Linked DNA regions of Drosophila melanogaster. The protein of the gene in region 2 purifies or fractionates together with the protein of the main gene of each other region. This does not show direct contact. Each region holds a gene or a part of one and is shown on either strand. Other genes may lie near its edges.

Region 1 (4,766 bases), on a different chromosome or scaffold from region 2:
CGATATTGAACACTCTCCTACAGAGGATTGCTACCATATTCTAAAGGAATCTTTCAAATAAATGCCATGTAAATGTTTATAGCACTACAAGAAGTAGCAAAGTAGTAAGAAAAAGTAAGAAGTAAGCAAAGTATTTCGTCGTTAACAAGCCTTCACGAAAGCAATAAAAAAAACTTTTGATTATTGATTATTTATTGCGAAGCACTGTTGGTGGTTTTGCCTGAGTCCACTGTACAGGGGATCAAGCACATTGACTGTGCTTAATTTATATTCAGCACATAACGGACGGGCCGTGACACCAGATACATTTCGATTTTCAGGCAGCTGAAAACGGAAATGGTAATGGTTTTATGCTTTGACCAAAACCAGAAAACCTGCTAACGAGTGTAAATCACTGGCGAGTAAACAAATTTCAATTAAATCGCCGAAAAACAAAGGAGAACAAGGGTGAACCGCGCATCAACGACCACCCTCATTTTGTTATATGTTCTCCGCTTTTGCTGGCTTACATGAAACAAAAAAAAAACACACTCAGAAAGCCAACAAAGCGAATTGAGATCGCAAATTAAATATTTATGTGGGCATAGGCTGGAAGTGGGCTTGCAACTTAATTTAGCCGGGCCAATGCGGCCATCAGCGGACTTTGTGTGTTGTATCTGTGTATCTCTGGGATTCAACGACAGATAGTCTCTCCAGAGTCCACTATTAACTCATTTTGTCTGCACGAATATCTCGTTCTCTTTTGGCCAACAAGCCAAGTCAAGTTGTTCTTGTCTCGGCCTATATTTATCCATTGCATCCGTGTAATGGCTTCGACATTGTCATAAGTGGAAAATATATTCCAACAGTTTACCCTACAAACTACGTACTGAATATGAAGAATATGCCTAGTTTTCTACACGGCAAACTTTTAGGCCGGGACTTTGATCCATCCTAAAAGAGCCCCAATGATGATGTCAGAAGGGCTGTTGACTAGCCAAAAACTCAACGACCAGCTTGCTAACAAACGGGTATTTTGACAGCTTCGGTTCCGCTCTCTTCAGTCAAGTGTGTTGTCGGCGTTGGCTTATCTGTGCCGCTAGCCCGCCCCAAGCGGTTCTCCCACACACACCGCGTTCTGCTGATAAGAAGCGGTGTAAACAGAGTGCTGCATATGTGTGGTGTACAGTGAAACCTCCTGTATGTCGAACTATACTATATTTTTACAGACAGACCTCGCATTCAACCAAAATATGAACAGAGGTCGTCTTACGCAAGAACAACTGTCTTTCACCCATGTACACCCATGGTGTATCTATTTCATTTCTGGCTATTGTTTTTGCAGTCTGGATAAAGATACTGAACCCGTTAGGGGTGCCCAGCTGTAACTGTGTTCCTTGTTCTGCCTTATCGCAAACCATTTATCGGAAGGTCTCTGATATCAGTTTCGGTCTTTTTGCGGAGTTTATTATTGAAGAGTTTCGTCACTATGCAAATAGAGATACGTCCCATGGCACAGAAAAATGCGCTGACCTCATGAGCCGATAAAAATGCAGGGTCCGCCGATGAGGCGGAAAATAACAAGAACTTGTCCACTGACAGACTTTCGAGTGAACGAAAGCGAAATCTATTGAAAAGTAAACATTCACACGCAGGACGATCGCAGCATAATGTGTCAGAGGGGGCGTGGGGAAGGGCGAGAAGTGGGTGGTGTTTCGATGGGGTGGAACGTCGAACAAATGCAATGACCTGAATATGGAGCGCTGTGTGCAGAGAAATGTGAAAAGGGCGATAAAAATGAGGCAGGATGCGGGTAAGATGAAAGGCGAAAGGCGAAAAAGCAAGGAAATTGTATTCAGCTTGAATATATTAATAGGTGGACAATGTGTACTTCGACTGGGAGCAAAATAAGCATTTCAGAGCCATTCTTCCTCTTTTCCCGTATAAAAAAAAAAAACGCTATCTTTACATCCAAATTGGATGTTATAGCATATCCTATCTTACAAGTGGCATCATAAGTTCTATCGAAATGTGATAAACCTAAAATCACATTCATATTCTTTACCGTTTTTATGACAAATGGCTTGTGGGCGAAAAATACATTATGAGTAAATCTCAATTTGCATGCTGCGTGAAAGGAGTATTGGCGACAGCTATGAGCTGGAAAATTCGTTTATTCGAATCCCTCATTCACAACACTCCCCCCACTTGACCCCTGGATGGATTCACACTCACTGCAATGACGTTTGGGCGAGTGCTGAAAGGTAAACATGTGTAGCCAAAACACGCAGCACGAAGCCCTCCGAAGGCAGGCAAAGTAACGGTACAAGGCGCGGCACCTGTTTACCGAGCGCAAGGGGAATGGGAAGGGGAGAGGAGCGCAAAACCCTGGCTCTCGGGCGTGAGCATGTATGCGTGAGCTGGGAGGCTGAGAGTGTCCTTGTGACTGGCCTGGCCTGGCCCAACAACAACAGCAATGGGGTGGGTGCTTGGGCAGGGGGTGTGGGAGGGAATCGGAGTCTGCACTTGCCTGCTCTATCGCGCGCTCGCTCTCGCTCTCGCGTTCGCTCGCCCAGCTCGGCAGCGTTGTATCTGTGTGTGTGCGCGGTTGAAGTCGTTGTGTGTGTGCTGGAATTTACGTGCTTATTGAATTTTCAGAGAGTTGCGCAAAAAACAAAAAAAAGCGGACGAGTTCGACGCTTTGAACTACAATTAATTTTAATTTGATTAAAAGCGCGACGCCAGGCTGGCTTCGCTCATTTATGGGTGTTGTTTTTCGCCGAGCTGCGCCCTTTACACGGATACACAGATACACACTCCCACACACACAGGCGCGCGTAAGCCGAGAATTTTCAGTGCGAAAAATATAGAACGCGAAACCCGTCGAACGTGGCAGGTATTCCCGGAAAATCAAGTGGATCGCGCACTCTGGCAGTTAATCGAATGCTTCGCTTGAATTTGCCCGCACATGCTGTCCCCTGACTTTTCTGGCAATTTTCACTGCATTTTCCGCTGCCCAGTACGTGCATCCGTTCGCGTTGACATCGGGGAAAAAACTCAGATACGATACTCTTTGGCGCTACCACGAGATAGCAGGGCTGCCGAAACATCGATTGCTGCATTATCGATTGTGCTTCGCAACATCATCGATTTGTTTCAGGCCAAAAACGTTATTATGTTATAATATATTTATAATAATTAATTAAGTATAAATTAAAGACTTAAATTAATTTTTAAATTGTAAACGTATTTTTCACAAATGTAAATGTACGATAGTACAAATTAGTTTAAATTATAGAGCATGGAGTGACCATCACTGATCGCGTTACCAACAATTTTTTTTAAATAAATTTGAGCTTGACATATTCGCGCTCTTGATCCTTATACAGTTAAAGCAAACAATTGATCAATTAAAAAATCATCATCTCAATTCTTTCGTAGTATTATTCATACAGACAATTATTTTATTACCAATTTTTCCCTTTTTAGTTTACACCTACGCCACTCAGTGTTATAATAAAATGTTTTGCAATTCAAGCACATATTTTATTGGTAAATATATATTTTCAGCAGTATAAACAGTGTCGGCCAGTGCCGGCCATTCATGAGATTTTAAACAAAAACTACTTACAAATGGGAAATTTGATGGCAAAAAAATCATCATATAATATAGGAAATCGTTAGTGCATTCACTTTTTGGCCTTGGCCTTAGACTTTGAAGCCGTGGAAGATGTAGCCTTTTTGGATCCACCAGACGCTTTTGACGTAGTTGTCCTCTTTTTGGCTTTGATCAAACTATCCAGCTCTAGGTTGTCCTTGTCCTCGTCTTCCTCTGATGATAAGTGGCCACCAGCTCCGTCCTCTTCGCCCGGACCCTCGTCCAAGTAATCGTCATCCGCTCCAGCAGCCTCTGATTTCTTCTTTTTGATGCCTGCTTGAGCGGAATAGGAGTATGCCATAACCTCCTTGTTGTAGGATCGCGTTAAAGCGGCTTTTACTCTCCCATCCACTGCGTCCAGTGGGGATTTCTTGCCGGGCCAGGATGTAAGCTCGACCAGCGAGTCCAGATCCTCACGGAGTAGATGGTAATCCTTCATAACGTCTAAAGCAGCGGGCACACCCTCCTGCCCATCCTTTGCAAGAGGTCGCACAATATTATCCAGAAGGAAGGGGGCGTAATCCAGCCTCACTGATAGCCTTGAGCCCGAGGTGCAGACCCTAGTATGATCATGCAGCTCCTGGGCCAGCCTGGCACGTTTTCCAGACTTGGAATTCTTGCCCAGCCACCCGGGAAAGTTAATCTGTCCAGTGAAGTGGCCACACATGTGCTCGCCAGGAAGGACCGAGCTGAAAAAGGCCTGAGTGGGTAGAAGACTCCAAGCAGAATTCGCACGAATACGCTTTTCAACAAGGTCACCCAAGCTTAGGGCATCTGCCGTAGCTGCCACCTTTGCCAGGACATCCTTTCTGCAAAGAGTGAAGTTGGTGAATGGGTACGCCCTTGGCTTAGGTAAACTAGACTTACTTGTTTCCCTGTGGTAGGACCTGCAGATAGTTTTGCTGCACAAAGAGCGGGGCCAGGCTGTAGTCGTGAAAGAAAAGGTCGCTCTTGTCGGCAAAAGACATGTGTTTGTGCTCGTCCGCGGTGAAGACTTTTCGCACCACCTCCCAGGGTCCCAGCTTCAGATCCTTGGTGGCAACCTGCTGCCCTGACTTTTGGGAAGCGTCTTCCTTGGCGCTCAGCAGGGCAATGTGGTTAATGGATTGCCGAATATCGTTGTTGGTAG
Region 2 (5,659 bases):
TGCACCCTCGCATCCCGTACTATCCTAGCATATCCTGGCATATCCTGTTCGCCTTTTTTCCGTGCTGTCATGCATTTGTATTTGATTAAACATTTTTTACGCGTTTCCGTTGAGAGCATCATTAGTTTGGCCCGTTTAGAGTTTCACTATGGACCGACCAGAGACTGAGTTGAAAACACCCTGGGATTCCACCCCATCGTCATCAAGTTTCCTCGTCCTTAGCCCAGTGCCCAAATGCATCTGTCCGATTCAATGGTCCACTTCCGCTTTTCCGCCTTGGCAGTTAGTGTGTTTTGGTATTTGTTTTAGTCGGTCCCAGATCGATGGACCATGTCAATGGCCCTTAATGGCATTTCATTACTGCAGTTCGCCGTTATTTGGGCATGATTATAAGGAATCACCCAAGAGCACTCATCATTATTGGTTACCAGTCTTACAACCCCCGTATAGATGATATATGACCACCTCGCCGCAATTATAAAGCAATCATTTGGGGGTTTGTTTTCCCTGACAACCCAAAGAGAACCCAACAAGAAGTTTTCATTTTCAGTTTTGCGTTTTTATTCAAGAGCTTTTATAATTTACAATTTTTATGGGTTTTCCAAGATTGGGTTTTGTATAAAAATATATTGGTTTCCGATAAATATATGTCGATTACATCTTAGACATCATATAATTAAAAAAGGTCTTCAAGAGTTTGTTTTTGTATAAAAATATATGGTGTATATTACGTATAAAAATACTTGGTTCAATGATCTGTCTCCTCTTAGCTTATTGTTAATGCACAATCGAGCGCAACGATTCTCTTGTAAACTTGAAGCTTAGACTGTAGTATCACAAAATCTCAACCGATATGGTTACATGTATGATATAGCTTAGAGTTAGTTAATTCCTAGATTGAGCGAAAGTTTCCCTTTTCGTTGTACTCTGCGGTTACAACCAATTTACACATACTGATGCTAAGGAACAATAGCGCTGTGATATTGTCCCGATATCGGGGATTACTTATTTTATTGCTTTAAGTACACAACCGCCGGTTCTGAAGCCTGTGGCCCTTATAGCTAGGTTGTACTGTTCAATACTTTGACTGGTAGTGAGACGCTGGTCCAATGTCCGTTTCTATGCCTAACTTAACTAACTAAACTAAACTGAGAACAAGCTGATTCCGCTTGATTAGGTGGCTAAAATGACTAGAGCTCACACTCGACTTTGGTTCACAAACACTGGGCTTGAATTTGCTTTAAACTAGGATTTGGTTTGCTTTTTGGTTTGATTCGAACTTAAACACTATTACTGCACAATTTTGCCTGAATTTTGGTTTCGGTATATAACCTGAATATGACTAAAGCTGTATCCGAAATTGAAGAACGATATATGTTTGTACAAACTTAGTAAGATCGAACTGAAGCTGACTTATAGAGATGATTTATCCTAAGTGACTAGAAGGAATGCAAGAACTTGTGACTAGAATGACGAGAAATTTCCAGATTGAAAAAGTTGTTAAAGGGTTGAATTAAGGGTAGAATATTAACTGGAAAATGATTAGCAAAAAATGCAAAGATGATACAGGATGAGAGTGAGTCATGAGGAAATTGGTATGAAAGTGTGAAAAGCTATGGGATGATTAGTAGTAAGAAGAATGAAGGATGATATGGGTGATGAATGATGTCATGGGATGATGTAGGAGCAAAGGAGTAGATGGATATATGACTGACTAGTATTAGTTATAAATCTTTGGTTGGTTGCTTTGGCTTTCGTTGTAGGTTCATTGCACTCCCAAAAGTTCCTAAACTAGCTAAATCTAGAGACTAATAGAAATGCCTTCGTGGTACACAAGAGACACTCTTTTCGAGATCGTATTGAAGCTGACTAGTGCCAAGATTCTTTGGATTCACTGACTAGAAATTAAGTTACAACTAAATTGCCGTGTGGAATGTGGGCCGAAGTACGGATACAAACTAGAGTCTAACTAGAATTGAACTCATTTTGCGAACGAAACTGAATCGGTTAAGAACTAAATTTTATAGCTAACTAAGAATACGAAGTGGAAAACGAAATTTCCGTGGAATATAACTATTTCTTTGGTCTGTTTCAGCTGCATCGGGTTTGGTGTTCAACTAGAAACTAAACTTAACATTAAAAATAAATCTCACTCGATTTCAGTGGGCCATGGTTGTGTGTTGGATGACGGAGGCGCAGTTCCTCAAGTTGGTCAGAGCTGCGGCAGCAATGCTTTCCTCCTCCGTGAGACCATGTTCCACAATCTGAAGCCGTCCGTATCCCGCAGATGAGGCGGAGGAGCTGGAGTCCGAGAGGTAGTCGTTGTCATAGTCGTAGTTCTCCCTGGCATTCGATCCCACCACGTAGACTCCCTCATCGGAGTGCGAACTGCTGGCGGAGGAGGAGGTGGACACCGCCTGGTTAAAGTGAAAACTGCCTGTGATAGTTGTGGTGGTGGGCTTCATTTCCAACTGTTTTTCCGCTGGCTTTTCCTTTTTCTGATGGGTCAGCTGGTGCTTCCTCAGGTAGGCGGCTCTCTTAAACTTCTTGCCGCACTCCTGGCAATCGAAGGCCAGTTCCTCCTCCGACTTTTTCTCCACCTGCTGCTGTTTCTCCGGCTGGTTGGTGGTATTGCGATTCTCCTTTTTAGACGCCTCCTTCCTCGGCTTGTGCCACCGGCGATGGGAGGCCAAGTTAGCAGGACAATTGAACTGCTTGCCGCACTCGGGACACCGGTACTCCAGCAGGACGATGCAGGCGCACCTGTGCCGGGCCAGGCCGAAGGCGTCCTCGAACTTGATCTTGCACAGTCGGCAGACATAGTCCCCGATCACGTTCTTGATGGCGGCCAGTTCCGCCTTGGTCTCCTCCGTGATCTCGACTATGTTGTACTTGGGGTCAATGTCGCCGTTGCTGTACTGCATCGATCCATCGGTGATGTCCTCGAGCGGTCGGATGACGGTGCCCGAGACGGGGGAACTGGTCTCCTCATCGAACTTCAGCTTGCGGGTGGCTTTATTGCGGGAGGGCTTTCCCGAGGAAGTGGAGGCCTTGTTGGTTTTAGGCGCAGATTCTGCCACTTTGACGGGTTTCGCTGGTGTGGATTCTACTGTTTCCACCGGAACCTCCTCCTCCTTTTTGGCCATTTTAGCCGGCTCGTCGTCATAGCTCTCCCGGCTCAATTTACGCTTCCCTGCTGGACTCTGCGGTGGTGTTGGGGGCTTCACCGGCAGCTCCTCCACCTTGGTCACCTCCCCCTGCACCTCGCTGGAACTAGCACTCGTATTTTCGCTATAGACCTCCGCGAATGTGGCCGCCATGGGCACATCGCTGCTGGGCAGTGGTGAGGGAAGCTTCAGCGTTAGATCCAGCGGTATTTCGCACCTGGTTTTCAGGTTCAGATATCGACTGCGGTACTTGGGGGGCAGCGAGGCCACTGTGGTCAGCAGGCCCAGGCCATGGGGCATCCCCTTGTGCTGCAACTGGATGCCAATGCTGTGCGGGTGGCTGAGCTTTTCAATGGGCTCCGCGGGGGCTGGAATCGGTATCGGTGTCTGTATCTGGGCCATGGCATCGATGGGACTTTCAACTTAAAACTTCAACGAGGCAAAACGAAAACGGAGTAGAACGGGGAACGTAGAACGGGAACTAAGCAAACTTAACAACAAACTGATAACGCTGATCCTCGCGGACTGGGACTCTATGCAGAAGACCTCCAGTCGGCTCGACGTTTGTGCTGCGAATGACGTTCGGTGGACTCGGTGGCGGCTATTTATGTGTACCACAGGCCAAAGGAAAGCGAAACCGAAACTCGAAATCATTGTTTGTGCCGGCGTCCTGGAAATACATTTCAACCCCCTTTTCGGCCGAAGTCGTTGTCCTTTTTCGACGCCGGCAGAGCCGCAAAAGCCGGAATCTTTTGTTAGCAATCACACACACATTAGTCACCCTTTTTTCCACACACACACATACACACGGAGTGAAAGTCCTACGCACACACACACACCACACAGTCTCCCGTTTTGCGGCCAGGACAATGCACTCGGAGAAATCAATGTGCGACAGCTGTTGTTTCGGTACCCGAAATTGCCACGCACCAAAATCGCAGCACCTTCCTAGGCAAATATGAATGTATGTTTGTGTATTCAGCGGAAATCTGAGCAGCACATTGTCCTTATTTTTGCCAAAAAAAACAGCTGACACCCATGGAGTCGTTAATTGAGCATGTAACCATAAGGTTCATCAATAGATCGGGAATATCCTTGGGCCAAAAGGTGAATTGTTTCTTTGTTGGCATTTGGTGCTAAACAGCTGTTGGCCAAGATGGTTATAAAAGTAAACAATGTAACAAGTAATAACGGCTGGAAAGTACATCAACATAGGGCATAGTTCGGATTGCTATCTATTTTTACATTTTTCATACATCTCATACACAAATTTCGCGATGTGTACTTTGCGGCACTGCATTTATCAGCCTCAGACGACTAAGCTCGTCAAGTTCGCTTTTGGTGGGGTAGGTAACAGACTAACAGACTAGCAGACACAACTTGGATTCGAACTTCGAACTTCACCACCGCGGAGCATGGCGCACAATCGCTTCTATCCTCGTATCCTTGTCGCTGTAACGGTAGCTGTATCTGTGTGCGAGTATCCTGGACGTGTATCGTTCGTGTGAGTGCTTTGCATTAATGTAATCGAAATGCGAAGCCGACTGAGCTGACTGAGTCGACAGTGGTTGCCATGAAAGGAATGCACTTTCGATTCCCGTCGAGGGCTTTCGTCGCAGGATTCGCAGGACTCTCGCTCTTGGAAAATATGGCATATTATGTTGAACACGCCGCCATTGTTGTTGTTCTTGTATTACGGTAGGCACGTGCATGGCAACGATTGCCACCCCAAAACGGGCTGACAATGTGAGCACTAAAAGAAAATACCCCCAAATTGCATAGTTGATCTAAGATTTCAGCTTTATATTCAATTGAATGTATTAACTCCGCCAGAATGCTATAATACACATTGTACAATGAATTGAATGCGCTACTAATATTGATTTTCTCGCAGTGCATGGTTGAAAGTGCAGAGAGTATTCCCAAGGCGATCCTGTCGCAGCAGGGTGGCCTTTTGCCAGGGGAATCGATGTTTGCCATGCAGCTTAGAATTAAAATAGCGCACGCATCCGAGGCCAAATCCTGGGCCAAACTTCGGATCGAGTGAATCGGCGACAAAAGTCTCAGAAGTGCGCCAGCCACGCGAGCATTGTCCTGAAGGTCCTGTCGTCCTTCGGCCGCGATGGCTGCCATCCGAAGGTCCTGAAAGGCATCGCAGATACACTGATTCAAAATCCATCCCCGTGCCGGGTGGCGAAAGTCCTCCCCTCCGGAGGACTCGGTGATGCCTTGCCAACTTATTCCTGTCAGTCACAAATGCCGCCTTATTTGCGATTCACTAAAGTGAGCGAAAAAGGAAACGGGAAATCAAGCCATCAAAAAGGACGAAAATTGATTAATCTGAGACAAGCCCATTGAAACGGATTAGTGCGCGTTGTTTAGAGGCTTCTCTGCGGTTATCATCATCCACCAGATCAGAGTGCACTTTTGATATTTCCATGGCATACGATCTCCGCACTTGCTTCTAAGGGGGAAGTCGTCTATTAAATCTC

What was found. The genes of interacting proteins can lie anywhere in the genome.
Region 1: the proteins of nerfin-1 (region 2) and Cdep purify together in Drosophila melanogaster (affinity purification with mass spectrometry, with the first as the bait; one large-scale study listed by BioGRID). This does not show direct contact.

Annotation. Positions count from the first base shown.
Region 1 is NT_033777.3:4,908,829-4,913,594, reverse strand, and holds the start of Cdep (Chondrocyte-derived ezrin-like domain containing protein), read right to left. Parts: upstream 3,044-4,766; 5' UTR 2,510-3,043; intron 1-2,509. Other genes in the region: Gnf1 (germ line transcription factor 1), read right to left, coding at 3,669-4,446, 4,505-4,766.
Region 2 is NT_037436.4:907,208-912,866, reverse strand, and holds nerfin-1 (nervous fingers 1), read right to left. Parts: upstream 3,756-5,659; 5' UTR 3,570-3,755; coding exon 2,160-3,569; 3' UTR 548-2,159; downstream 1-547.